Linked DNA regions of Diceros bicornis minor. The protein of the gene in region 3 interacts with the protein of the main gene of each other region in a biochemical or structural test. Links are inferred from orthologs where the notes say so. Each region holds a gene or a part of one and is shown on either strand. Other genes may lie near its edges. The genes, in order: KIT, SIRPA and MATK.

Region 1 (7,572 bases), on a different chromosome or scaffold from region 3:
ACCGCTTGAACGTTCTCCTCTTCCTGCTTTGCCTTCTCCTCCTGATCCCTCAGAATCTAATTGCTACCTCTTTGGGGGAGCCTCGTGAGATCGCCGTATAACATGATTTAGGGTTCACATGTCATCCTGCACATAGCTCTGTCAGGGTACATATAACAATTTAATCTTTGATCCCCTTACGTGTCTCTCTTCTTTTTCTGCAAATCTCATGGGGGCGGCATCTGTGTCTTGTCTGACTTTTCCTTCCCAGCACCTAATGTAGCTCATCTGGCATATAGAAGGTGTTCAATAAACACTGGGTGAAAGCTTGAACTAAGAGCATACACTACCTTCTCCCATCCTCACCAATGGTGAGGTGGTTATTGTTGGTATAGAGTCCACCAATGAGGATCACATATCCATTTCTCCCACTTTATGCACAAAACCTTTCAAATGGTTACTGGAAAAATAAGGACTATCAAGTAACAAACTTGAAAAAGATTATACCCTTGGTGTAGTAATTCCACCCCCAGAAATTTATCCTATACAAATAATCAGAGGCAGGGAAGTTTTATTCACCAAGATGTTCATAATCAAGTAATTTATGATAGGAAAAAACTGGAAAAAAATAGAGAAATGATTACATATTTAGAATTATGGTACATACATACAAGTGAACATTATACTGCTGTTATGTATTATGTTTCCACAGAAATTTTTTTTTTTTTGGGTGAGGAAGATTAGCCCTGAGCTAACATCTGTGCCTGTTCTCCCTCTATTTTGTATGTGGGTCACCGCCACAGCATGGCTTGATGTGTGGTGTAGGTCCATTCTCGAAATCCAAACCTGCGAACCCAGACCGCTGAAGTGGAGCACGCCGAACTTAACGGCTATGCCACGGGGCCAGCCCCCCAAAGAATTTTTAATGATCTGGGACAATGCTTGTGTTATGATTAGTGAAAAAGCTGGATAGAAAACTAGCAAGTATTGTAAAATCTTAAATTATACAAAGAAAAAAAAATCCTTAGCATAAGCAGAGAAAAAAGATTTGAAAGAAACACACCAAAATGAACGCTTCAGTAATTATATCTTGGGTGATTTTTGTTTTGTTCTTTATAATTTTTGGTATTTTCTAAAGTTTCCACAGAAAGCATCTTTACTTTTACAATCAGAAATTAAAAAATTTTTCAAGTTAGAGATTTGGGCTATGTGAGACAATAGTAGAACATCTTTTAAAATTTAATTTAATTTTTTATTGCAGTAACATTGGTTTATAACATTATATAAATTTCAGGTGTACATAATACTGAACATCTGTTCTATTTGTGCAGCATCATTTCGGCTTCTTCTAGTGAAAGTACCTCAGGTTTTCTTTGGGGACATATCCCTTCTCATTCTTAGGCCTTGGGATGTGGATGAAGTGGATACTCAACCCTGGCTCCAGGGGTGGGCATGTGAGCCAGACCTGGCCAATCATCATATTCCATCTGTCTGGCTTTGTGACTGGTTCCAAGTGGGCATGTGACTTAAGCCAAGTTAATACTTTTAAAGGAGATGTTCATGAGGGCAGAAAAGCTCTGCTTACATTGGTACTAATGAGCTGTAAGCCTAGAGCTGCTTGAGTGCACATGAGGACAGGGAATCAATACAGGAAAGTATTGCTGAAGGATGGAGATGCAGAAAAATGCATGTGTGTGTACACACACACACACTACCTTCAAGTCCTCACGTTTTTGAGTTCTTGGATCTAGGAAAGTGTAGAATGCTATCATCTCTGGACAATTATGAAAACAATAAATTATATACAATATAATTCATGAAAGGGTCCAGGGCTATCACAAAATAGAGTACAGAACTGGTCCTGTACATCCTACCTGAGATATCAAATATTTCCATCATTGTAAACGTTTGTATTGGACATGATCTAAAATATAGTTCATTCCCATAGCAGTTCACTCAGAGCACCTTCTAGATGCCTCCTTTTAGTACCTGGCTGGCAGAGGGTATTATTAAAAATAGCTAATCACCCTAAAGGCACAGGGACTGGAGGCTCTCTGCTGTGCCCGGCATTAAACCTTTAATTGCTGGATCTGAGGAGAGTTGGGGTATCTCAAGGGAGGGGTTGGAGTGAGGGGGCACTTAGGTGTTTTGGAGGAGTGGCTTTTTTCCAATAAGTACAGAAAGATTTCAATATTCTACCAACCAACTTGGTGTGTACTGGCAGAACATGAGCCCCGTTAGTAGATATTATAGTTTCTTATTTGGGCATCTGTTTTCTCCCCTGGACTGTGAATCCTCCTAGACAGGGACCTTGTCTTATTGATTTTTGTAGGTCTTGTGTCTACCTAGGTGCTCAACAGGTATTTGTTGAATGGTGAACATGAACAACAGTCACGCATTGTATAATTCCCTACTCTAGGTTTTTTTTTTTCCCCTTTGATAGAAGTTTCCTGCCTAGAATTAAATTGCAATATGGTCTCTTTTCATCCACCCTTCTGAAGACTTGTTATCCTCTCCAATATCAGTCGATTGAAGAAGAAAATTGTGAATTTTCTCTCTCGGGTATAATGTTGATATTTTAACTCATAGTCATTTTTTTCTCACTACGAAATGGATTTTAGAAATAAATCAAGATCCCAGAAACTTATGATTGCTTTGAGTGGAGCTTTTATCTCTGTCATCCTCAGAAAAAGCTGTGGTCTGAGGGCGCAGAGTACAGAGACTTTTGCATTTCACTTCTCCCACAGCTGTATGACTTGAACCATTTGCTAGGACATTGGGGTGTGGGTTCCCACACTTGACTATAAGGATTGTGGCAGTGCCCACATCTGTCTGTTAACAATGGTACTCCTTGTTCACAGTAGACACTTTAATGCTTGTTGAATGAATAAATAATCTTAAAGAGAGGCAATCATACCCATTGATCTAGTAGCAATAATTTTTAAGTGATTAGCTTTAAAAATCATTTTTCTTAAACCAACTTAGGTCCTATCAACATCAAACAGGAGAACTTTCAATGTTAAAGTGTGTGTGGGGTGCTGCTGGTTAATTATAAATTTTGAATGTTATTTTAGAGAAGAGTCTAGGTGTATCTAAATTATTCCATCGCTTTTTCTGATGAGCATTTCCCATTTATTTTCCATTGTTAAGCTCTCTGGAGGGGTGTTTTACTGGTTTATTAGGATGCATAAGGAAAGCTCATCATACCCGGAGCCACCAAAATGACTGGGTCTCCTCTCTATTAGCTGTGTGATCTTGGGCCACTTCTAGAACTAGAATAATAAACATATCTGCTCTACCTACCTCGCAAAGCTGTTATTGTGAGCATGAAATAATATTCAGTGTAAGGAGGAACTATAAAACCCTATACAGATACTGTTGGGACCTTCCCAGGCAGTGGAACCTGGCTTAGGAGAATCCTTTCACTATTATTTTGCTCCTGGTACAGGCTAGGGCAGCAGAAGAGGAACGGCTCGGATCCCCACCCCTGTAACTGTCTTCGCATAGAGGGCCAGAGAAACCGTATGGGGGACAAAAAGAGAAGGTGCCCAGAGGGTTTAGCACAACGATCTCGGCGCAAATGGGTGTAAAAACTCGGGCTCCCAGAGCAAACTTCGCAAGGCGCCCCTCCCCACTCCGAGGCCCCAGTCTCCAGAAAAGCCTCGGCAGGGGCTTGTAGGGCGGAGGCCACGCCGACCAATAGAAACCAACTGTGATCTTACCGGTTGAGAAGCAGGTGGAGAAACTGACCAGAAAGAATTACGCCGCGGCTTAGCCTTTTACCGCGGTGCCAGGCACCACGCTTGGTCGCCCCCACCCCGACTAAAAGAAATGGAGAAGACATTCTTCTCCCTCTGCCCCCAATTCCTGTCCACCTCCACCACTAGCGGCGTCCAGCCTCCTCCCTCAGGAGCGTGCTCGAGGGGCAGGCGGCGAACCTTTATTGTCTGGGGAGCACCTGCCAGGTGGCGGGCCCGTGCCCTAATCTGCGCGTGGTGCCCAGCTTCACAAAGCGCGCGGGCAGCACCACCCCCGTCCGGGAACCGCCTCCGGCGCCCAGACCACATCACAGGAGTGAAGAGACGAAGGGGCTCCGGGGTCGGGAAGCGGCGAAGAGGGTCGGCGCGCCCTCCCGCTCCCCGCGGGCTCAGACCCCCGGGATGAGTACGTCGAAAAAGCAGGGGCCAGACGCCGCCGGCAGGGAGCGAGAATCAGCCGTGAGGCAGGGAGGGGAGGGGAGGCGAGGAGGGGCGCCGAGAAGGGGCGTGGCCGGCGCGCAGGGGGAGGGCGCTGGGAGGAGGGGCAGCTGCTCGCAGCTCGCGGCTCTTGGGGGCTCGGCTTTGCCGCGCTTGGTGCACTTGGGCAAGAGCAGGAACGTGGAACGGAGCTCCGATCCCAGCGCAGCCACCGCGATGAGAGGCGCTCGCGGCGCCTGGGATTTTCTCTGCGTCCTGCTTCTCCTGTTCCGCGTCCAGACAGGTGGGAGAGCGCCGCGGGCACCGGGGCCGCGCCCCTGGCGCAGCCTGTGCCCCCGAGGGCTCGAACACGTTGGGGTGTGTCTGGAGAGGGGGCTGCTGGCCCTCCAGTGCCCGTGCATTTCAGCCTCTGGGAGGATGGGAGGCGTCCCCGGACTTTCCTGCGCCCTGCCTCGCTCACCTGCGCGAGGAGACCCCAGCCGCTGGTGGTGGGGACGCTGAGCTGGGGTCTTCCAGAAATGAGGGCAGCGAGGGGGTTTAGGCGTGAGCGAGGTGCAGGCTGAGGGCAGCGAGCTGCGTGCGAGTTTGGGGTTGCTTTTGTGCCGAGAGTGCGTGAGGGCACAGGCGGACGGGTCGGCGGGTCGCACCCAGCGCGTTATCTCCGCCGTGCGAGGCGCGGCCGCTGCTTCCTTTTGTTAAAAGTTGCGCGTGTGTGACCGGCGCACCGGGGGACCGGCCCGCAGCTTCTCAGCCGCGCCGAGGTCAAAGTTGGAGAGGCTTTTCTTTGCTCTGCGGCTGCTGCTTTCCAAACCGCGAGCGCTCTTTGTGCCTGGGAGCTGAGGACTGACCCACTGCCGCCTCTGCTCGCGGCGCCACTCGTGGACGCGAGTCGAAGGCTGCGGCGTCCCCCCGAACCCCTGGTCATGCTTTTGCACCGGGAGCGCGCCGCGTGCGGCTCTGGGGCCCGACCCCGCTAACCTGGAGGGGGCGGCTACAGAGGCAGCTTGGGCAGAGCGTGTGGAAAGCAGCCGCTAGGTTGCAGACTTTTAGCTTTAATAAGTCCGGTGCCAGAGGCTCGCCACTCTCTGCCGCTTGCTTCCCTGCCACGCGCCTGGAAGCGGCTGGTGGCTGCGTTGCCGCTTGCTCTCGGGGAAGGCAGGGACAGTGCGCTGGGACGCCGTGGTCCCCGACCCCGGCCGCCTCCCACGCCTGGTCAGGCTAGCGGGGCTCTGCAAGCCCCCGGAATCGGTGTCTGCAACCTGTAATCGCAGGTCCCTGTTTTCTTTGGGAATTTTGAGATTCGCAATACTCACTCCACGTGATATCTATATATAAGGGCTGCGGGAGGTGAAGGGTGGGAGACGGAGTGGAACTTTGCAAATCTTACTTGGATCTTAAAGCTGTTGTGAAAATCCGGTTATATCTGCGCGGGAACTTGGGTCTTAAGGCGGAGGAGAAGGATTTACAGGCTCCTCAGTCAGATTCCTGCCCCTTCTTCCCTTTTCTCTGGGTGTCGCTGGTGCGCGAGCGAGCGCAGGTCGCCCAGCTAACCCCTGGAGCCCTGCTCGCTCTCAGGTCATTTTTTAAAAAGCTTTAAGGCTACCCTCATGATGTGAGGACAGAAAGTGAGTCTGAACTGGAATTCAAGGGCTCCAGAGGAAGCATCGCTATGAACTATTGTGGGGCTCTATGGTCAGTTTTCCCATAAAGTCGCAAGATGCAGGGTCCGCCTTCCCGGTCTTGGAAGGCATTGTCAGGGCTTACCTGTCGGAGAAGGGGGCCCTTGCATCTGGACTCGTGTGAGGTAGGAGGGATCGTGAGTGAGTGTCCGGATTTCGTGGTGGATTTGACCGCCTAAGCTTCCAATGAAACGTTTGGTCTTTACATCTTGGCATTTTTAATTTCAGTTAAGGTATGTAGACCGGAAGGGAGTAAGGCACTAGAAAGACAGACCACGCAGAATATTTCCCTTTTTAAAAATTAAATGAATCATTTGCTTCCTTCTTCCGCATCAGTAGCTTGCTCCATCCAGTAGGCTTTTGGCAAAGGGAATTTTAAGGTCTGGCTTCTGGGGGGCACTGTGGTGTAGTGACAAAGCCTTGTGCTGCCGTTCTGGTTTCTCTATGCCCTTGGGCAGGTCGCTTAAATTCTGGAGAGCCCAGTTTCCTGAAGGGGGCAGTGAGGCATCTGCATCATGAAGGGTCCTTTGGATCCAAAAATTCTCCTCTTCCAGTGTTCTGAGTGTAGACTCTACACTTTTTCTGAGTTTTTTCCTGATTCCTTCCTGCCTCCTTGAAATCTCTCTGCCGCCTCTGTCACAGGGACCACTTGGTGGTATCCTACTGGTCTCCCCCTGGTTAAGGCAGGGAGATGTGCTTATGCTGCCCTCTCTTCAATCCACACATGCTGGCCTGCTATTTCCCTTTGAGGGCTAGGAGGTGCCAACTTGCAACTCTACAGGACCCTCATCACCTACCCCCCCCCTCCCCCCAGTATTTACAACTCCTGTGCCCGGCAGGATGAACCTGCAAGGAATAGTGAATCATACCTTCCCCATGTTCCTGCAGATGTGAGCCTAGAGTCATACCCAGCAGCTGGACACAGGATATTCTGGCTTAATATCCTGCTGGAAGTAATATGATAGTCTTATAAAGGGATTCCAGATAATTCATTTATCCCCATTCTGGTCTTTCCTGCTCATCCACACGTTTTTCCTTAGGACCTTATAAATCGTGTATGCTGTGCATTTACAGCACGTTTTCTGATGTGTCTTAAATTTCACGTTACATGTGTGTTGTACGTAGTTATTGCTTTTTATTTGGAAACTGTGTGCCAGGGCCTGTGCTGGAGCCTTCACCTGGCATTTCCAGTCCTCTCAACAAGCACCGGAGGTAGAACTGTTGCCATCCCTACCATTTTACAGCTGGGGAAACTGGCTGAGGAGAAGTCAGTTCCCAGAGTCATCAGTGGTGAAACCTGAGATTGGCCGCGTGTGCCCAGCTGTATATCCATTCACATGACTTACCCATTCGAAACTATTTAATGAGGACCTGTTAAACGCCAGGCATTGTTGGAGGTTCTGGGAACACAAGATGGCCAAGTCATTACTTTCCCAATTTTGGTGAAAAAGACCTAGAATTGCCTGTCTTATGATGTCTGAGTTCGAGTGTTCTCAGTTTGAGGGAAGTCATTAAATTATAGCCTTGGGTATAAGGGCTTTAGGTGTGAGCTCTCCCATTCCAGGTAGAGTCTCTCAGAAATGAAGATAAACTGTCCCTAAAATGATGGTGTAAGCCAGCTGAAAATTTTTTCCATCCCCCACTCCAAAAAATAAAAATGGTCTTAGCATTATATACTTGTGGCATACTTGTGAAAGAGAAACCCCCCGTAATGGGAA
Region 2 (8,022 bases), on a different chromosome or scaffold from region 3:
TCCCAGGTGTGGTGTGAATGTCACAAGAACATGCCTGTAAAGCATAGCAGATGCTGAACAAACGGGAACTTATCATTATTTGGAGAACCGAGTTTGAATCCTCACTGGCTCCGCCACTCACCAGCTGTGTGTCCCGGGCAAGTCACTCCGTCCCTCTGAACTTCAGTTTCCGCGGCTATAAAATGGCTGCCGTGAGCCTTGGGGACAGCCCAGTACAGGTCAGAGAAGAGAGCAGGGGCGCCTTAAGGGCGCTCCCAGCTCCTGCCCCCCACCGCCCTCTCAACAGGCTGTCAGCAGCCCCTCTCTGGGGCAGTTGGTTCCCTGGTCCAGGAATCCCTGCTGTTTTTATTTTTATTGTTCTGGCTCCACAGCTGAGGCCTCTAACTCCAAAAGGCTCCTCTTGCCCAGAAAAATAGGTCGTTGGCAGCTCCAGTCCTGACAGGCCCCACACAAAGGCGGCCCGGCGGGCCTGCGGGCTGACGCCAGCCCAGGGTTATGGGAAGCGAGGAGGGAGCCCGGCCGGGCTGGCGCCAGGCAGAGCTGGGTCCCCGTGGGTTCCTGCAGGCCCAGGCACAGTGACCCTGGCCCAGTCGCTTTCTGTCCCTGGCTTGTTTCCTCACCTCCGGGACCACCTTCAAGGAGGCTATCCATGTGGAAGGGCCTGGCACACACAGGGGCGCCACCACCCACCTGCAGAGGCTAACTCCAGGTATGCTCCCCCGTGGTGGCTTTCCCATCTGTGCCACCACCGACCCCTCGTCTCGAGGTGGACCTGCTTATTCCTATTGCACAGATGGAGAGACTGAGGCTCATAAAATCAATTTTCCCCAAATCGCACAAGTCAAATTGTGCAGAGTCTTGGCTTGGAAGCCCTTTGCGCTCATTCAAGTCTTCTCTGCAGCGGACCCTGGACAGCAGGGGAGGGACATGATCTGACCTCTATCAAGGGATCCCTCTGGCTGCTGAGTGGAGAATGGATGGGGGAAGAGGAGGACAAGGGTGGAAAGAGGGTGCCGGTGGGAGATGGTGGAGGCGCAGACAGGGTGGAAGCAGCAGAGCAGGCACCGGGAAGTGGTTTGGTCTTGCATGTGATGAGAAGGTGGAGCCCAGGGGACAGGCTGCAGGGGGGGAGTGACAGAGAAGTGTCAGGAGCAATGCAGGGATGGAGCCGCCGCCCGTGCTTCCCATCTCCATCTCGCAGGTCTTTGCTCAAATATCACCTCCTCTGAGGCCTCCCTGACCCGCCCCCCTTGTTGGCCCTGGGTGCCTTCCTGCTTTCTCTCCCCCTGTAGCCTTATCCCCATCACAGAGACTAAATATTTCACATACCGTTTGTTTGTTTGCCCCACTAGAGTGTCAGCTCCTTGGGGGCAGGAGTTTTTGTCTGTTTTTTCCCACCTCCTGCATCCCCGGTGCCTAGCACAGAGGCTGGCACATAGTAGATGCTTAATAAATATTGCTGAGTGAGTGCATGAATGGATGGTACATGTACGAAGGCAGATCAGTTTTAATCCAGGGGAGCCCAGGACGACTCCTAGGGAGGTGGCTGATTCACCTCAACTACCTGCCATAATCTCTCTGTGACCTCAGGTCTCCCGACCTCAGATGCTCAGCTGCCCATTGGTCTCAATGAGCTCCCAGCCCTGACGGTCGGCCAAGGGTGATTTTTATGTGGAGGCTGGATCAGGAGGAAAGGGCCCAGGCCGCCTCCTGGGGCAGAGGTGAGGATGAAAATGGTCCCTGTGCTGGGCAGCCGTCCTGGGCGCCTTTGCCAAAGGTGCTGTATATACATAGCAGGTGGTGCGATTATTATCCTGGCCTAATCTGCAGCTTCCTAATCCCAGGCAGGGTGTGTGTGTGTGTGTGTGTGCGTGCACGTGCGCGTGTCCTGGGGAACAGCGAATGGCAGAGCTTTCTGGAAGCCCAGGCCAGGAGTCTACCTCATCTCTGGTGGTCATCAGTAGCCCCTGCCCCCACTCCCACCCCAGATGGATTCGTGTGATGGATTTTCCCAGGAGCCTCAGCTGGTCACCTTCACGGTCTCAGCCAGATGTGGCCTGAAGAGTTGGAGACTCCCTCCCCCAACCTGAGATACTAGGAGGACCCCAGAACAAACTCCTCACTGGTACCCTGATTCCATGCTCCCCTCTACTCTCAGCCACAGTGGCCTTTTAAACACACCAATCAGACCATGGGGCTCCCCTGCTTAAACCCTCCAGTGATTTCCTGTCTGCAGAATAAACACAGGCTCTTTACCAAGGTCTGCAAGGCCACCCAGCCTGACCACTCTCCCCAATCCTTCGCTCATTCCTCTCCAGCCAAGCTGGCCCCAGGGCCTTTATACGTGCTGCTCCCTTTTTCTGGGAACAGCAAATCCCCACATCCTCACCTTGCTGCCCCTTCTTGTGATTCAGTTCTCAGCTTCCCAGGGAGGCCTTACCCTTATTTAAATCAGCGTACCCTTCTCACTCTCTAAGCTCAATCTTCTGTTGCTCATTAATTATTTCTACTACTGTACTTATCTGTCTCCCCACTAGAATATAAATTCCTCGTGGACGGGGCCTTGTGTGGGTCACTGCTGTGTCTCCCACGCCCAAAGAAAAGAAAATCCCCTCGCCCTTCAAACACTGCCCAGAACTCTATGGGTTCCGAGGACTGTTGCTGAACACTTTCCTTATTTATCAAATGCTTACGTAGCCCCTGGGACATGCTAGGCACTTTTTAAAATGTTGTACAAATATTAAGTCATCTAATTCTCACACCAGCCTTTTTAGGTTGATATTCACATTGGCCTCATTTCAGATGCGAAAGCTGAGGCACCGAAATAAGTTCTTTTCTCAAGTCGACACAGCTCATAAGAGGTGGCTGGCAGGATCTGAACCCAGGGAGTCTGCTCCACACTCTCAACAGCTGCACCCTGCCTGCCTCCCTGTCTTAGCCCAACACCAGAAGCAGGCATTTGACAGGGAGGCAGGGCTAGGGATGGGGTGTGACTTTGCAAAGGTTTTTAGCCTAGAAATCAGGAATCAAGTCTTGTTTCTATCCTAGGCCTTGCTGCGTGGCCTTAGGCAAGTCCACTCCCTCTCTGGGCCCAGACACCCTCTAGATGTACAAGGCTGGCCCTTCTCCCACCCTGCTTCATTCATATCCTCTTAATGGCCTTGTGAAGCAAAATTGGGTATTGCTTACTTCCGAGCCCCAAACCCTCCAGTTAGCACAGGGTCTTGGATTCCTTTCCCTCCCACAGCCCAGAGCCTTCTTTTGCCAGATGACCAGCATGCTCACTCCCTATCCCTGACCTGGCTGCTCCTGGGAACACAGCCTTTCCTCACGGAAAAAGAGAGGGAGAGAAAGGAGCATGGGCTTCTTTCACCTAGGCTATCGCCCCTCTCCAGGCCCCTGCTCTCCTCTTCCCCTCGTCTTCCTCACTGCCTGTCATTTTCCTGGAGCCCAGGCCTTCAAGTCAAGCCCCCTTCTCCCCGCCCCCAACCCTGCCTGAGCCTTCCGCACCCCCTGAATGGGCCATGCCTGACAGAGAGGCAACTGGGGGAGAGCGCCCACCTCCCCAGCGAGGCCCGGACCCAGACCCTTCCCCTCTGGTTTCCAGGCCGCAGCCCCCCTTCTCGCTCCCTCTCCTCCCTGCGCCTCTTTTCCAGGCGGTGCTGAAGTCCTTCCTACACACACGCTATTTTTGTACCATCACTCTCTCCTTCCTCTCCCCCTTCCCCCTACATTCACTTACTTCCTGCTTTTCCTTCACCTCGGGCCGAGCTCTGAAAGAATTGGGCCCCTCTGGCCGGCGCCCACCCCCAAGAGGGCCCTTCAGCTTTGGGGCACAGGGGCAGGGCCGCTTGGCGAGGGGCCAAAGGCAGACCCCACCCCGTGTCCCCCTCCACTCCCCCACTCCCTCCCCGCCTCTCCCCAGCGGGACGCAGGGACAAACCCCGGCCGGAGTCCGGAGGCGAGGGCAGGTCGGCCGCAACTTCCCCAGTCCACCTTAAGAGGACGGTGTCGCCAGCTCGCGGCGCTGACCTTAGGAAAACAAGTTTGCGCTCAGTGGAGCGGGGGGCCCGGCCTCTGGGCAGCCCGCGGCGGCGCTTCCACAGCCTTCCAGCCCTCGCAGGCGGCGCAGGTCCGAGCCCGGCCGGCAGTGGGAGGGGGAGGAGAGGGGACGGCGCGGGGCCGGGGGCAGCGGCGCGGGCTTCTGCACTGGCACGCTGTTGGCGCCGGGGGCTCGTCCAGTCCCGAGCCCGAGCGGCTGCGCCGGCGGGGGGCTCGCGGGGCCGCCTCCCGGGGTGCCGGGGCCGCGGCGCGGGCGAGGGGGCGCTGCTGGCGGGCGCAAGCCGAGAAGCTGCCGGCGGCCGAGCCCCGCAGCCCCCGGGCGCGCGGGGGGCGGAGGGAGGGGGGCGGGAGGGGGCCGGGCTGCCGGGAGGGCGGGGGCCGCGGCCGGGACCGCGGGCCGGGAGCGAGCCGAGCGCCGGCGCCGCGAGGAGCCCGGGCGGGGCAGGTGGGCAGCGGCGGGGGCGGCTCGCGCCGGACGGGGCCGTGCTGCCCCTCGCCCTCCGGCGGTCCTCCTCTCCCGCGCTGGCGGTCTCGCTCGGCGCGCCGCCGCGCGCTCCTTTCTCTCCCTCTCTCCCCCTCGCGCCTCTCCGTGTCTCTGGCTCTCTGCCTGGCTCCCTTGGGTCTGTTTCTCTCTCCTGCCGCCTCTCTCTGGCTTTATTTCTCGCGCGCTCGGGGTCTCTCCCCCTCTCTGTCTCTCGATCTCTCCCGGGGAGGGGGGTCTCCGAAAATCGCGGCGGTGACGGCAGCTCCTAAGCCGCTCCAGGCGCCCGTTCCGGGGAGGGGGAAGCCCGGCCGGGAGGGGTGGGGGGGGGGAGCGGGGGGGGTGTCTTAGTCATTTCCCCGCTCCAGCCTGCGCCCGCCCGAGCGCGCACTCACGGCCGCTCTCCCTCCTCGCTCCGCAGCCGCGGCCCATGGAGCCCGCCGGCCCGGCCCCCGGCCGCCTCGGGCCGCTGCTCTGCCTGCTGCTCGCCGCGTCCTGCGCCCGGACAGGTAAGCACCCCCCACCCCCACCGCTGCCATCCCCAAACTGCGGGCTCAGGCCTCTCAGACCGCCACTGGGAGCCGCTCGGCTATGTAGAGCAGTAATAGGGGGGAAAATGCCTGTGATCAGGGTTACAGATGCGGAAACTGAGGCCCAGAGAGGGCCAGCGACTTGCCCAAGGTCACACAGCCAAGGATAAAACCCAGTCTCTCTGGACTCTGACTGTACGGCACTGTGCCACGCACTGGGACATACCCAGATGAGTTGATTCACCCGGCCCCTGCCCAATCTGATGGGAGAGGCAGGCTGTCAGCTGCTTTCAGAGCCAGGAGCCCTGGCTTCTCTAGAAGCTCTTTCTCTGGACCTGTGTTTTCCACACGTTTGACTTCAGGGTCAGAGACAGGGAGTGGGGCAGAGGTCCTCTGGCTCTGCCTGGGATGGAACAGAAACAGGCTGTTGCAATTAGGGAGGAGTGAGCTCTCTCTCTCTGGTGCGCAGAGTAAAACAGTGTTAGCCTGTGTATAGAGGAGAAAGCGAGGAAGGGAGGCCCGGTAACCCTGGGGTGAGCTGCTGCAAGCAGCAGATCCTGATGTGAAAACACAGTGGATTGTCCCTGTGGTTACCAAAGCCTCTGGCTGGATGGTCTTGCTTCTTGTGGCTCTCCTGGCCCCCCCACTTCCTCCTGCCTTCCCTGGCAGCTCCCTGCAGTTCAGGTGCTCTGTGGGGCTGTTACCTGTGGCTCTGAACGTGGCTTTTCGTTGGCCTACATCAAACACCTGGCTGTCTCCAGCAGGCGGGCTCTGAAGGCTACCGTATGTGTTCGCCAAGGGGTGAGGTCACCGTTCAGGAGTACTGCTTCTTAAAGGGGTTTTGCAAAACCACGGTCTCCTGGGAGGGCGTGGGGGGCAGAGAAACGTTGTTCAAGAGTTGGGGTGGAGAAGAAGAATGGGGATCTTATTTTTTGAAGCTGTGTTGCCAGCAGAGGGGTCTCTGCACCTCCCTCGAGGAGGGAGGTAAAGATGAGCTCAGTATCCTCCCCCCTTCTGCATTTGCCTAGAGACTGGTAACCATCTGATAGCACCGAGAAAGGGAGAGCTAGCAAAGAGTGGGTGGAGGGAGAAGTGGGGGTGGACAGCAGCTTCTCTCTGCCCTGCAGTTTCCCCCGAACCTCGGGAATCCATGTAGGCATCCCCCCCACCCCCCGGGGCTTTCAGTGCCAGTTGGGTTCTTGCTGGGCTGGGTGGAGGTAAACACTGATATATTTCATGTCTCTCTGGTGAGTGGCATCTCTGATCTGCTGCTTCCTGCCTGAGCCGGCCATTTACACCCTGCAAAGCCCGGTTCCTGCCCTGCCATCCTCCTGGCCTGCAAACGCACGAGCGTCTCGCAGAAGTGCTTAATTTTCCTGAAGCGGGGAACTGGGCCCAAGTTAATTTCTAAATGTCTATTCCAGACCCTTCTCCACCCAGGACCCTGTGGTTCAGTCCCTGGCAAATGAGCTGTGACGCTGATTAACAAGTGTTCAGATGGGCAGCCTGCCTCTCCTGGGCACTGGCTGGGAACACCAACACCCTTCTTGTGAGCAAATCTCCCCCTTTTACCTATAAAAACAATCTATAAAATGGTAAAGATTAGGCCATAAAACTTCCGTTCCAATCCATTCAGCATCAATAGCCTGAAAAAGTGGGAGCAGCAGAGGGGCCAAGATTAACTTTGAAATAAATAAATCTTAGAAGGTGAGAATAAATTTCTTGGTTGAGGGTGGTGGGGAAGGGATGGGGTGTCACCGTCATAGCTCAAATCTCCCAGCATCCTTCGCTCTCGTTCTACGGGGTTCTGGTCACACTCTGGGCCCTGGCATGGAGTTCACTGGTTTGGCTGAAGGATGGGGCTTCAGGCCCCTCCCTCAATTGCTCCAGGCATGAAATTTATGACAAAGCAGAAGAGAGTCAGGACAGAAGGGCAGGGAGGTAGAAGGAGTCAGTTGTCCAATTTTGTAAGAAAATGAATTTGTTCGAGTGAGAAACTCAAATGTCAGGCTTCAGAAGGCAGCTAGGATTGAATGACTACTAGTGTCTCAGGCAGAACTGTCAGCCTGGGAGGTGTCACATGATCGCTGTGGCTTCACATGATCGGGATCTGGAGGGGCTAGTCATGTAAATTATCTTGGTTGGGGAGGCAGGGGAAGAAGTTTCTAAAGATTCCTTTCAGCACAAATGCTGCCAAAGGGAAATTCTAAAAAGATGCACGTGAAGTCACCAACCTGTGTTCTTGGAGCCAACGAGAGGTCTGTTTCCTAAAACAGCTTTGCTGAGGGAGATTCTGAGACTAGGAGAAAGGCAAGGATCTGGGGCTTGGGGACACCTGGGCACCCTGATTCTGCAACAGCAGCGCCTGCCACTGACCCTGTGGGCTTCTGGCTTGGCCCCACCTAGGTCTTGGGACCTGGGGGTCACCTGCTGGGCAGACCTCAGATGAGCTCCCGTTCACTCCTTGCTCGGCCTGGAGAAGGCCAGGCCACGTTGGGTTTCAGGCTTCGGGGGATAGCTGGGCCCTCTGGTGGGCCTGACCCTTTGGTAGCGGGTGGATGCTGGTGGCTTCTCTGTACTTTGCTGAGTGGCGAAGTTAATCTCGCTTCCTCTTTCACAAGAAGAGGAAGGGGGAGGAGGGCTTTGGCCCCAATGGGCTTGGGCTGTTAGAAGGTCCTGTAAAGCCCTGGTGTACTCTGGATATTTTCTGGCCATTAACTTTTCCTTTCCCAGCCCCGTGGACCTGACTCATTCCCTTACTTGCAGTCATTCAGCACGTATGACGTCCTGATGTGAACCACGTGTTGCGAGAAGTGGGGAGAACCAGTGATGGTTGAGTGTTGGCCGTGTTCCAGGCTGTGTGCTGAGCGTCTGCCTGTGTGATCTCATTAGTCAGCCAAGCAAAGCATGGGTTGGCTGTTATTTCCCCATTTTGCAGACGAGGATAAT
Region 3 (7,773 bases):
GGCAGGAGGGCAATCGACAAGAAGGAGTCAGACAGAGTAACAGGCAGTGATTGGGGCTTGGACGATGGGTGACCACCATGGGTGGTCAGGAAGGGTCTCTTGGAGGAGCCGGAAACGCCGAGAAGGAGCCAGCCTTGAGAAGAGCTGAGGGGAGCACATACGAGGAGGAGGAAACAGCACGTGCAAAGGCCCTGAGGCTGGCTGGTGCCTGAAGCATTTGAGGAACAGGAGCAAGTGGAGGGAGCTGACAGCAGAGGGGTGACAGCGGCCAGACCAAGCCAGTGGGGGGTGACAGTGAGAAGCCCAAGTTCCATCCTCAGCCAGATGGAAACCACGGGCAGGTCGTCAGCCAGGAAGTGACACAGACCCAGTTCACCCACATCGAACCTGCAGGCGTGGCTGGAAAACGACATGCCGGATCCACTCTACTCGCATCACAGGATGATGGGGCGAGGATGTGGGGGAGAGCACACAGCCTCCTCTCTGGAAGGCAGATCTGCCTGAAGCTCACCTCCGGCACCCCAAAAAAGCAGGTCGCCCCGAGAGCCCTTTCGCTCGACGCGAACCGCAGCTCTGGCTGCGGAGCAGCGGGGCAGCACGTTTCCTCGAAAGAGCAGAGCGGAGCGTTCCTCGCCGGGTCCCCGAGGCCCCTGGCAGGGAGGAGACGGCTAAATTTAAAGGCGTGCTAATTGGGGCAGTCCGATCCGGCCGCGCTCCAGGATCCGGCCCCACATCTGCCCGCCCGCCCTCCAGATCAGAGAGCTCGGTACGGCACTTTCTCTCTGGGGGTCCACCGTGTGCCCGACACCTCGCCAGGCGGCTGGCCTGTGGGCCCTGGGGCCGGACGGGCTGGGTTCGAAGGCCAGCACACCACCTCCCGTGTCCTGGGGCGAGCCCGGGCGCCCTCTGGGCCTCGGCATTCTCATCTGAGAAATGGGTACACTGAGGGTGCCTGCCTCACAGGTGACACCTCAGTACCTCTCCCCTCCCCATAGTCATTGGCTTAAAGAATATGTTCTGAGCACCTGCTGTGTGCCAGGTACAGAAGCCACAGCCGGGAATGGCCCCTGGTGTGAAGACTGCGTTTCCCACCTTCTCCTGCCCCAGGCTTTGGCCATGTGGCTAAGTTCCACCCAACGGGATAAAATGAAGGTGTCATGTGCGTCTTCCAGGAAGAGTCCTTAAAGGGAAGAGGTGCACCTTTCTCTGCCAACTTCCTGCTTCCTGTTGGCTGGAATGCAGATGGGATGGCTGGAGCTTGAGCAGCCATCTTAGATCAAGAGGTGGAAGTTCGTGTGCCAAGAAAGGCAGAGCAACGAGAGGGCAGGAGCCTGGGTCCCTGACACTGCTCAGGATTGCCTCCCCGGGAGAGGATTAATTTCTGTCTAATTCAAGCCTTTAGCACTTGGGGTCCTCCATCCCGTGTAGCCAATCCTAATCCTCACTGATGCATTATGTAAAGTGCCTGTCACACGGCTCCCTTTGTTCATTGCCTACAATGATTTTCATCCCTACTAGTAAGAATAAGAAACATGTCCTGCCTTTGAGAAGTTTGCAACCCCATTGGGGGAGTCTGCAGGCCTGACTTTTAGCCCCAACCAGCTGTGTGACCATGGGCAAGTAGCCTCGCCTTTCTGGCTCTCAGCGGCTCCAGTTCTAGCATGAACTCCAGGCATGGCTGGATCTCTCTCTCCATTTCTCGGCTCTGCCTTCCTCCAGGCAGGCTGCCAGGTCCCCGCCCATCACACAGTGAGACCAGAGAGCCAGGGTCCCCCTCGAGGGGTCCTTTCAGAGCACAGATGTGGGTTCTTGCTGCGAGAAGGGGTGGGGGCGCCCAAGAAGGCTTCATAAAAATGGCGCCGGTTGAGTTGGGCATGAGCTCAGAGATGCCAGCTGGATGGGGGGAAGGGCATTCCGGGCAGAGGGAACAGCCAGCGCAAAAGCATGCAAATGCCTGCAGTTCAGAGTTGGGACTGCTGGGTGCCTGGTGGGAGCAGGAGACGAGGCCAGGGAGGCAGAACACGAAGAACCCTGGATGCCGGACTGAGCGTTCTAGACTCTGTCCTGCAGGCGGCAGGGAGCTAGGGAAGGATGCAGAGCAGGGGAGGGCCAAGGTCACATTCTCCTCCCTGGGCGATGCAGCGGAAGGTGAAGGGTAGCAAGGAGAAAGACTAGGGGTGGCTGGGAGACCAGGGAGGGGGCCTCTTGTCACCTGCCTGCACCAGGCGGGTGGCCTGGGCGGGTCAGAGAATGTCTGGATGGAGGGTAGGGAGCCCAGGACTGGAGAATTCTGCAGTCGGATCCCATGGTGTGGCTACCAGCTGGCTTCAGGCTAGTAGAAGGGAAGGGCGAGTGCCCTTTGTGATCCAAAGTGACCAACGCTTGGGTGCCTCCAGGGACGGGGAGCTCACCCCTTCGGTAGCCCTGACCCAAATAAACCATGGACTGGAATCTGTCCCCCTAGAGTCAGGCACAGCTGAGTGCCCTGGGGGCCCCCTGCACCCCAGGCCAGCCTTTGGAGATTCAGGCACCTGAACCTGTCTCCTTAAGTCTCTCCTTCTCCAGTCTCAATGCCTCTGGTATCTCTGCTTATTCCTTCTGGAGCGGGGCCTTCCAGAGTGTGGGGCAGGACCCCTGGGGTCCCGGGGAGGATGTAGGTGCTCCTAGACACTAAGAATCGCACGAAGGAGAACGTCTCCGTGGGGTGCTAGGGCGTCCTGACGTGGTGAACGCGGGCTCGTGTCCGCGCTGGGCAGAGAGAAGGCGCCCCCGTCGTGGGGCCGGGGCGGCAGCGTCTCTCGTGGGAATCGGATGGTGCCGCTGGGTTTCCGCTGTGCGATTTTGATGCTGCGTGTCTATTTCGGGCAAGTGATGGTGGTTTGCCATATATGGTGGGCGCCTGGGGGACCCTACTGAATGCCGGCCGCGAGGTCCCCAGCCCCAGGTCCCAAGCAGTGCCGGCGGCTGGGAGGCGGGGCCACAGCCTGGGCCCGTCCCACAGCCAGATCCCTAGATGGAGCCCGGGGAGCCTGCTGGCCAGGAAACCCCTCGGAGGGAGGCCCCCTCCCTGCAAACGCCAGCTGGGAATAATGAATTACACTCCGCGAAGGAAAGACGCCCTCCCCTCCCTCTCCTCCTGCCCACGCTCCTCACTGGGGATAACCCTGGTGCCGGTTGGGGGCTCCCCTTCTGGAACTCTCCCCTCGGACTTATTCTCTCCTGGATAACAGGAATAGGGTCATGCATTTGTGTTGTGTCACAGCCTGGTGGTGGGGGGGCGGTTTCGACAACTGTTGAGGTTAGCACACATAGTTTCCTAGTTTTTGTTGCGTACTATCCCATCATGTGGCTGTTCTGTCACTCTCCTAACTGGGCCTCTGTTCCCAGAAATCATGAGATGCCTAGAGGCACCCACACTTAGCCTTGCAGGGGACAGAAGATTAAAGAGGGGACCCAGGCTGTCTGGGCATCTTGGTTTATCCCTGTCGGAGCAGGAAGGCGGCGGAGCTCACAGGGCGATCGCAGGGGGCCACGCCCAGGCGTGGCCATCAAGTTGACCTGAGACTGTCCTCTGAGGTCAAAGCCAGTGCTGCCCAGCCCTACAGAGGGGGAAACCGAGGCTGGAGTGGGAGCAGCCCCTGCCTCTGGCACAGCTGGGATGGCCCCAGGCACACCCCACTGTTCACCTCCAAGGAGGGCTGCTCCGCCAGGAGGCCTCAGTTCCCAATAGTTTTTTTTCTGTGGCCCCAATTTTCCCTTAATATTGATGATGATCATAACGATACCGATAGCAGGTGACATTTTTGGGCGCTTTCTTTGCGCCAGGCACCATCAGCCTTCTGAATGAGTCCCCCCCCATGGCAGAGGAGGTGACTGAGGGCGCTGGAATCACAGATTCAGAGGGTCCACTGTGTCGTCTGGGCTCCGCGGCTTGCTTACCTCCCCGGATGGGCAGCTCACTCCGCCTCCCCTGCCCGCGCGCACGAGCGCGGCACCCGCTTCACGCTCCAAGGCGTCGGCATCCGGGGTGGGCGGGGGTGCGCGCCCCGCGGCGCCAGGCCGGGAGCGGCGGGGAGCCCGCGAGCGCCACCAGCCCCCGCCCGGGCCGCGCCTGAGGCGCCGGGGGCCGCGGGGGCGGGGAGGGGAGGGGCCGGCGGCGGCGGCGGCGCGCGGAGCAGACCGCAGTGCGGCCGGCGCTAGGACCCGCGGGGGCCTCCCAGGCCGCGGCGCCTCCCGCTCCCCCCCACCCCAGTCCTCCCCCCCCCCAAAATGAGGAAACGGAGCAACTTGCTCCAAGTTGTGCAGCCGAGGCCGCCTCGGGGTGCGCAGCCGGCGCGCGGGGGCCCTCCTGGGGGCGAGCGCGGGGCGCGGCCCGGGGGCGCCCCCTGAGCAGGTGAGCGCGGCGGCGGGGATGGGGGGAGAGACCGCGGGGCAGCGGGGGACCAGGAGGGCTCCAGGGGGACCCCGGGCGTGCGCGGACGGGGCCGGTGTGCGCGCGAGGGTGCGCGTCCGGGGCGCGCGGCGGGTACGCGGCCGGGGCGGGCGGTGGCTAGAGGCGACCAGGCGCGGGGTGGGGGTATTTTCTGGCTGCGGGTGTGCGCGTCTGCGAGCCCCCGGGCGTGTGTATCCGCGCGTCCACGTGGAGGATGTGCGCGTGTGGCCGAGATGCGTGTGCGCGGCCCTGCGTGTCGCTCTGCGTGCGCGGGTGGCCCTGTGTCTGGCGCCCAGGTGTTCCAGTGTGGGTCTGTGTGTGCGCTGGGGGAGACAGGTACACAGGTTTCCCGATGTCCGAGCATCTGTGCGTGTGTACACACGTGTGGACGGGGGTGCACACGTGTCTCTAGGGGAACGTGCCTCTGCTTGCACACCCGCGCGGCTGTGGGCACCTCTGTCCACCTGTGTGTGTGCTCGTGTGTACACGGATCAGTATGCGTGCGAGTACACGTGAGGTTGGGGACTTTTGGGGGGCGCATACTGGAGACGCAGACTCACCCCCCCAACCAGCCCCCTGCAGTGGGGTCCATGGGGGAGGCAGGGGTGGAAATGCCGGCACCCCAGCAGCAGTGAGTGAATGTGTGTGTCCCTCCTGGGTTGTGGGGGGGGGCGGATCAGAGAGGCTCAGCTGGCAGCCAGAGGAGCCCAGCAGGGCTGCATGGCCCTCGTCCCCTCGCTCCCCGCCAGGGTCACGGATTCTTGGGAATGACCTTGAATCATCATCCTCTGTTCCCTGCCCTGCCCCTGCCCACTTACCAGAAAAGAGGAAGAAGGAGGCTCGATTAGGTGGCACCAAGCTCCCCACGCACCATGCGGGCTGCTGGGGCCTGAGCCAGACGCTCCCCCCCCCCCCCGCCCCAGCCCGTGGCCACTTGCTCTGTGCCCACCTTGTGCCTCAGTTTCCCTTTGGGGACCATGGCGAGGCGAGGCTCCATGGTGCCCTTCCTGGTGTTCGTGGCTTTGACTTTGCTAAGGAGCTCCCCCCGGTACATACCACCTCCCCACAGGGCCTTGGGGAGCCAGCGCCTGGACCCCCACCCCCGAGGATGCCCGCCGGCTGTCGCCTCCACCTGGCTGGGCTGACAGTGGTAGTGAGGGCGCTGGGGCCCCAGCCCGGCTGGAATCTGAGCTCTCCAGCTGGTCTCTGCTCCTCCCCAGGTGAGGCCTCGCTTCCTCCGCGCCGGGCACCCCCACCCTCCCAGGCAGGATGCCGACGGTGAGCACCCCAGCCTGTCCCCAGCCCTTCTCGACTCAGTCCACACCCGCAGGCCCTCAGCTCCCCGGGGGGCCAGACTCCCACCCGGGGCCCCTTCAGCCAGTGTCTGCCCAGTCTTTCTCGCTCCCTTCGTGTTGACTTTCTCTCGCCTTCTCTCTCTGACCTTGGGTCCTGGGCCCCTGGGTTGGTGACTAATATTGTTCTGCTGGCTGCGCCCTGCCCTCTCTCCTCCTCTCCGTTGTTTACTGTCTCTGTCGCCATCCGATTTGCTGTCTGTCTCTCATCTCCCCGTCGCTCGGTGGCTGGCTGTCTCTTGCTCAATTTCCAGTCCTGTCTCCCTCCTGTCCTCTCCCCCCCGCCCCGCTTGGCCCTCATGCGGCCCTGTGCCCCCCCCCCAGAGGCGCTGGGCCCCGGGCACCCAATGCATCACCAAGTGTGAGCACACGCGCCCCAAGCCGGGAGAGCTGGCCTTCCGCAAGGGCGATGTGGTCACCATCTTGGAGGCCTGCGAGGTGAGCGGTGGCTGGAGGGCCTGGCGCGCTGGGGGACGGGGCTCCGTCAGGACCCCCCACACACACACACCGACCCCTGGCTCCCTCCCTGGTAGAGCAAGAGCTGGTACCGGGCCAAGCACCACGCCAGCGGGCAGGAGGGGCTGCTGGCGGCCGGCGCGCTGCGGGAGCGCGAGGCCCTGTCCGCGGACCCCAAGCTCAGCCTCATGCCGTGAGTGGGGGGGACGCCCCGGGGGCGGGGGGAGGCGGGGGCCCCGGCCAGCCCGGCCCAGCGCGCCCTCCCGCCGCCCGCAGGTGGTTCCACGGGAAGATCTCGGGCCAGGAGGCCGTGCAGCAGCTGCAGCCGCCCGAGGACGGGCTGTTCCTGGTGCGCGAGTCCGTGCGGCACCCCGGCGACTACGTGCTGTGCGTGAGCTTCGGCCGCGACGTCATCCACTACCGCGTGCTGCACCGCGACGGCCACCTGACCATCGACGAGGCCGCCTGCTTCTGCAACCTCATGGATATGGTGGAGGTGCGGCCTCGCGGCTCCGGACCCCCGGAGCTGCGTGCTCCCCAAAGCCGGGATGGAGGGACCCCAGGCCCCGCCCCATCCCGGCAATTGGGTGGACCCGGGACCCCCAGAGCGCATGCTCCCTAATGCGGAGATGGAGGGACCCCAGGCCCCGCCCCTTCCCGGCAATTGTGTGGGCCCTGGACCCCCATAGGCGCGTGCTCCCCAAAGCCGAGATGGAGAGACCCCAGGCCCCGCTCCATCCCGGCAGCTGGGTGCACCTGGGACCCCCAGAGTCACGTGCTTCCCAAAGCGAGATGGAGGGACCCCAGACCCCGCCCCATCCCGGCAGCTGGGTGCACCTGGGACCCCCAGGGCGCATGCTCCTCACTGTGGAGTAGGAGGGGCTAGCCTCCATGGACCACCAACCCTAGAGGTGGTCTGAGTCCTCGGGGTTCCACCTCCAGGGACTGGGGTGGCCCTCTGGGGACCCCTAGGAACCTCCAAGTTGACACGAATCCAGAGACCCCCCCCACCTCCCCAGGATCCTCCTGTTTTCCTCCTCTCCTGCATCCTCTCCGTTTCCATGGAAACGAGCCCAACTCATCCTGCGAGAACCAAACCCCTTTCCTCCCGCCTCCCCAGCTCCGGCCCACCCCACCCAGAGACCCCCTGGGAAGGGGACGGGCTGCAGGGGTTCCCCGCAGCCCGGGGTCGGGCTCACGCGCCTCTGCCCCGCCCCACCCTGCAGCATTACAGCAAAGACAAGGGGGCCATCTGCACGCGGCTCGTGAAACCCAGGAGGAAACAGGGCACCAGGTCGGCGGAGGAGGAGCTGGCCAAGGGTAAGGCGCGCCCTTCCCCGCCCGCGCGGCCCCGGGCGCATGGCCGCGGCCACGTCACCTGAGCCAGAAACCTGCCTCTGAGCCTTGCCTCCCCACCCTCCCACATCCCCTCCATGGCCGGGTTCTAACACCTGTGAAATGTCGCCCCCCACCCCCCACCCCGAGCCTCAAGCCCACCCATCAAACCACCTTTTTCCTGGGGGGGGCGTCCTG

What was found.
Region 1: the proteins of MATK (region 3) and KIT form a complex in vitro, tested with the Homo sapiens proteins (2 studies listed by BioGRID). The link is inferred for Diceros bicornis minor from reciprocal best matches to the Homo sapiens genes MATK and KIT.
Region 2: the proteins of MATK (region 3) and SIRPA form a complex in vitro, tested with the Homo sapiens proteins (3 studies listed by BioGRID, with this or other methods). The link is inferred for Diceros bicornis minor from reciprocal best matches to the Homo sapiens genes MATK and SIRPA.

What each region holds. Positions count from the first base shown.
Region 1 is NC_080747.1:42,550,589-42,558,160, forward strand, and holds the start of KIT (mast/stem cell growth factor receptor Kit), read left to right. Parts: upstream 1-4,316; 5' UTR 4,317-4,391; coding exon 4,392-4,458; intron 4,459-7,572. UniProt on the Homo sapiens protein: Tyrosine-protein kinase that acts as a cell-surface receptor for the cytokine KITLG/SCF and plays an essential role in the regulation of cell survival and proliferation, hematopoiesis, stem cell maintenance, gametogenesis, mast cell development, migration and function, and in melanogenesis.
Region 2 is NC_080758.1:30,550,456-30,558,477, forward strand, and holds the start of SIRPA (tyrosine-protein phosphatase non-receptor type substrate 1), read left to right. Parts: upstream 1-4,454; 5' UTR 4,455-4,507; intron 4,508-4,964; 5' UTR 4,965-4,973; coding exon 4,974-5,052; intron 5,053-8,022. UniProt on the Homo sapiens protein: Immunoglobulin-like cell surface receptor for CD47. Acts as docking protein and induces translocation of PTPN6, PTPN11 and other binding partners from the cytosol to the plasma membrane.
Region 3 is NW_026691553.1:2,892,752-2,900,524, reverse strand, and holds the start of MATK (megakaryocyte-associated tyrosine-protein kinase), read left to right. Parts: upstream 1-4,244; 5' UTR 4,245-4,393; intron 4,394-5,635; exon of another isoform or gene 5,636-5,652; 5' UTR 5,653-5,701; coding exon 5,702-5,710; intron 5,711-6,108; coding exon 6,109-6,222; intron 6,223-6,317; coding exon 6,318-6,433; intron 6,434-6,516; coding exon 6,517-6,736; intron 6,737-7,466; coding exon 7,467-7,560; intron 7,561-7,773.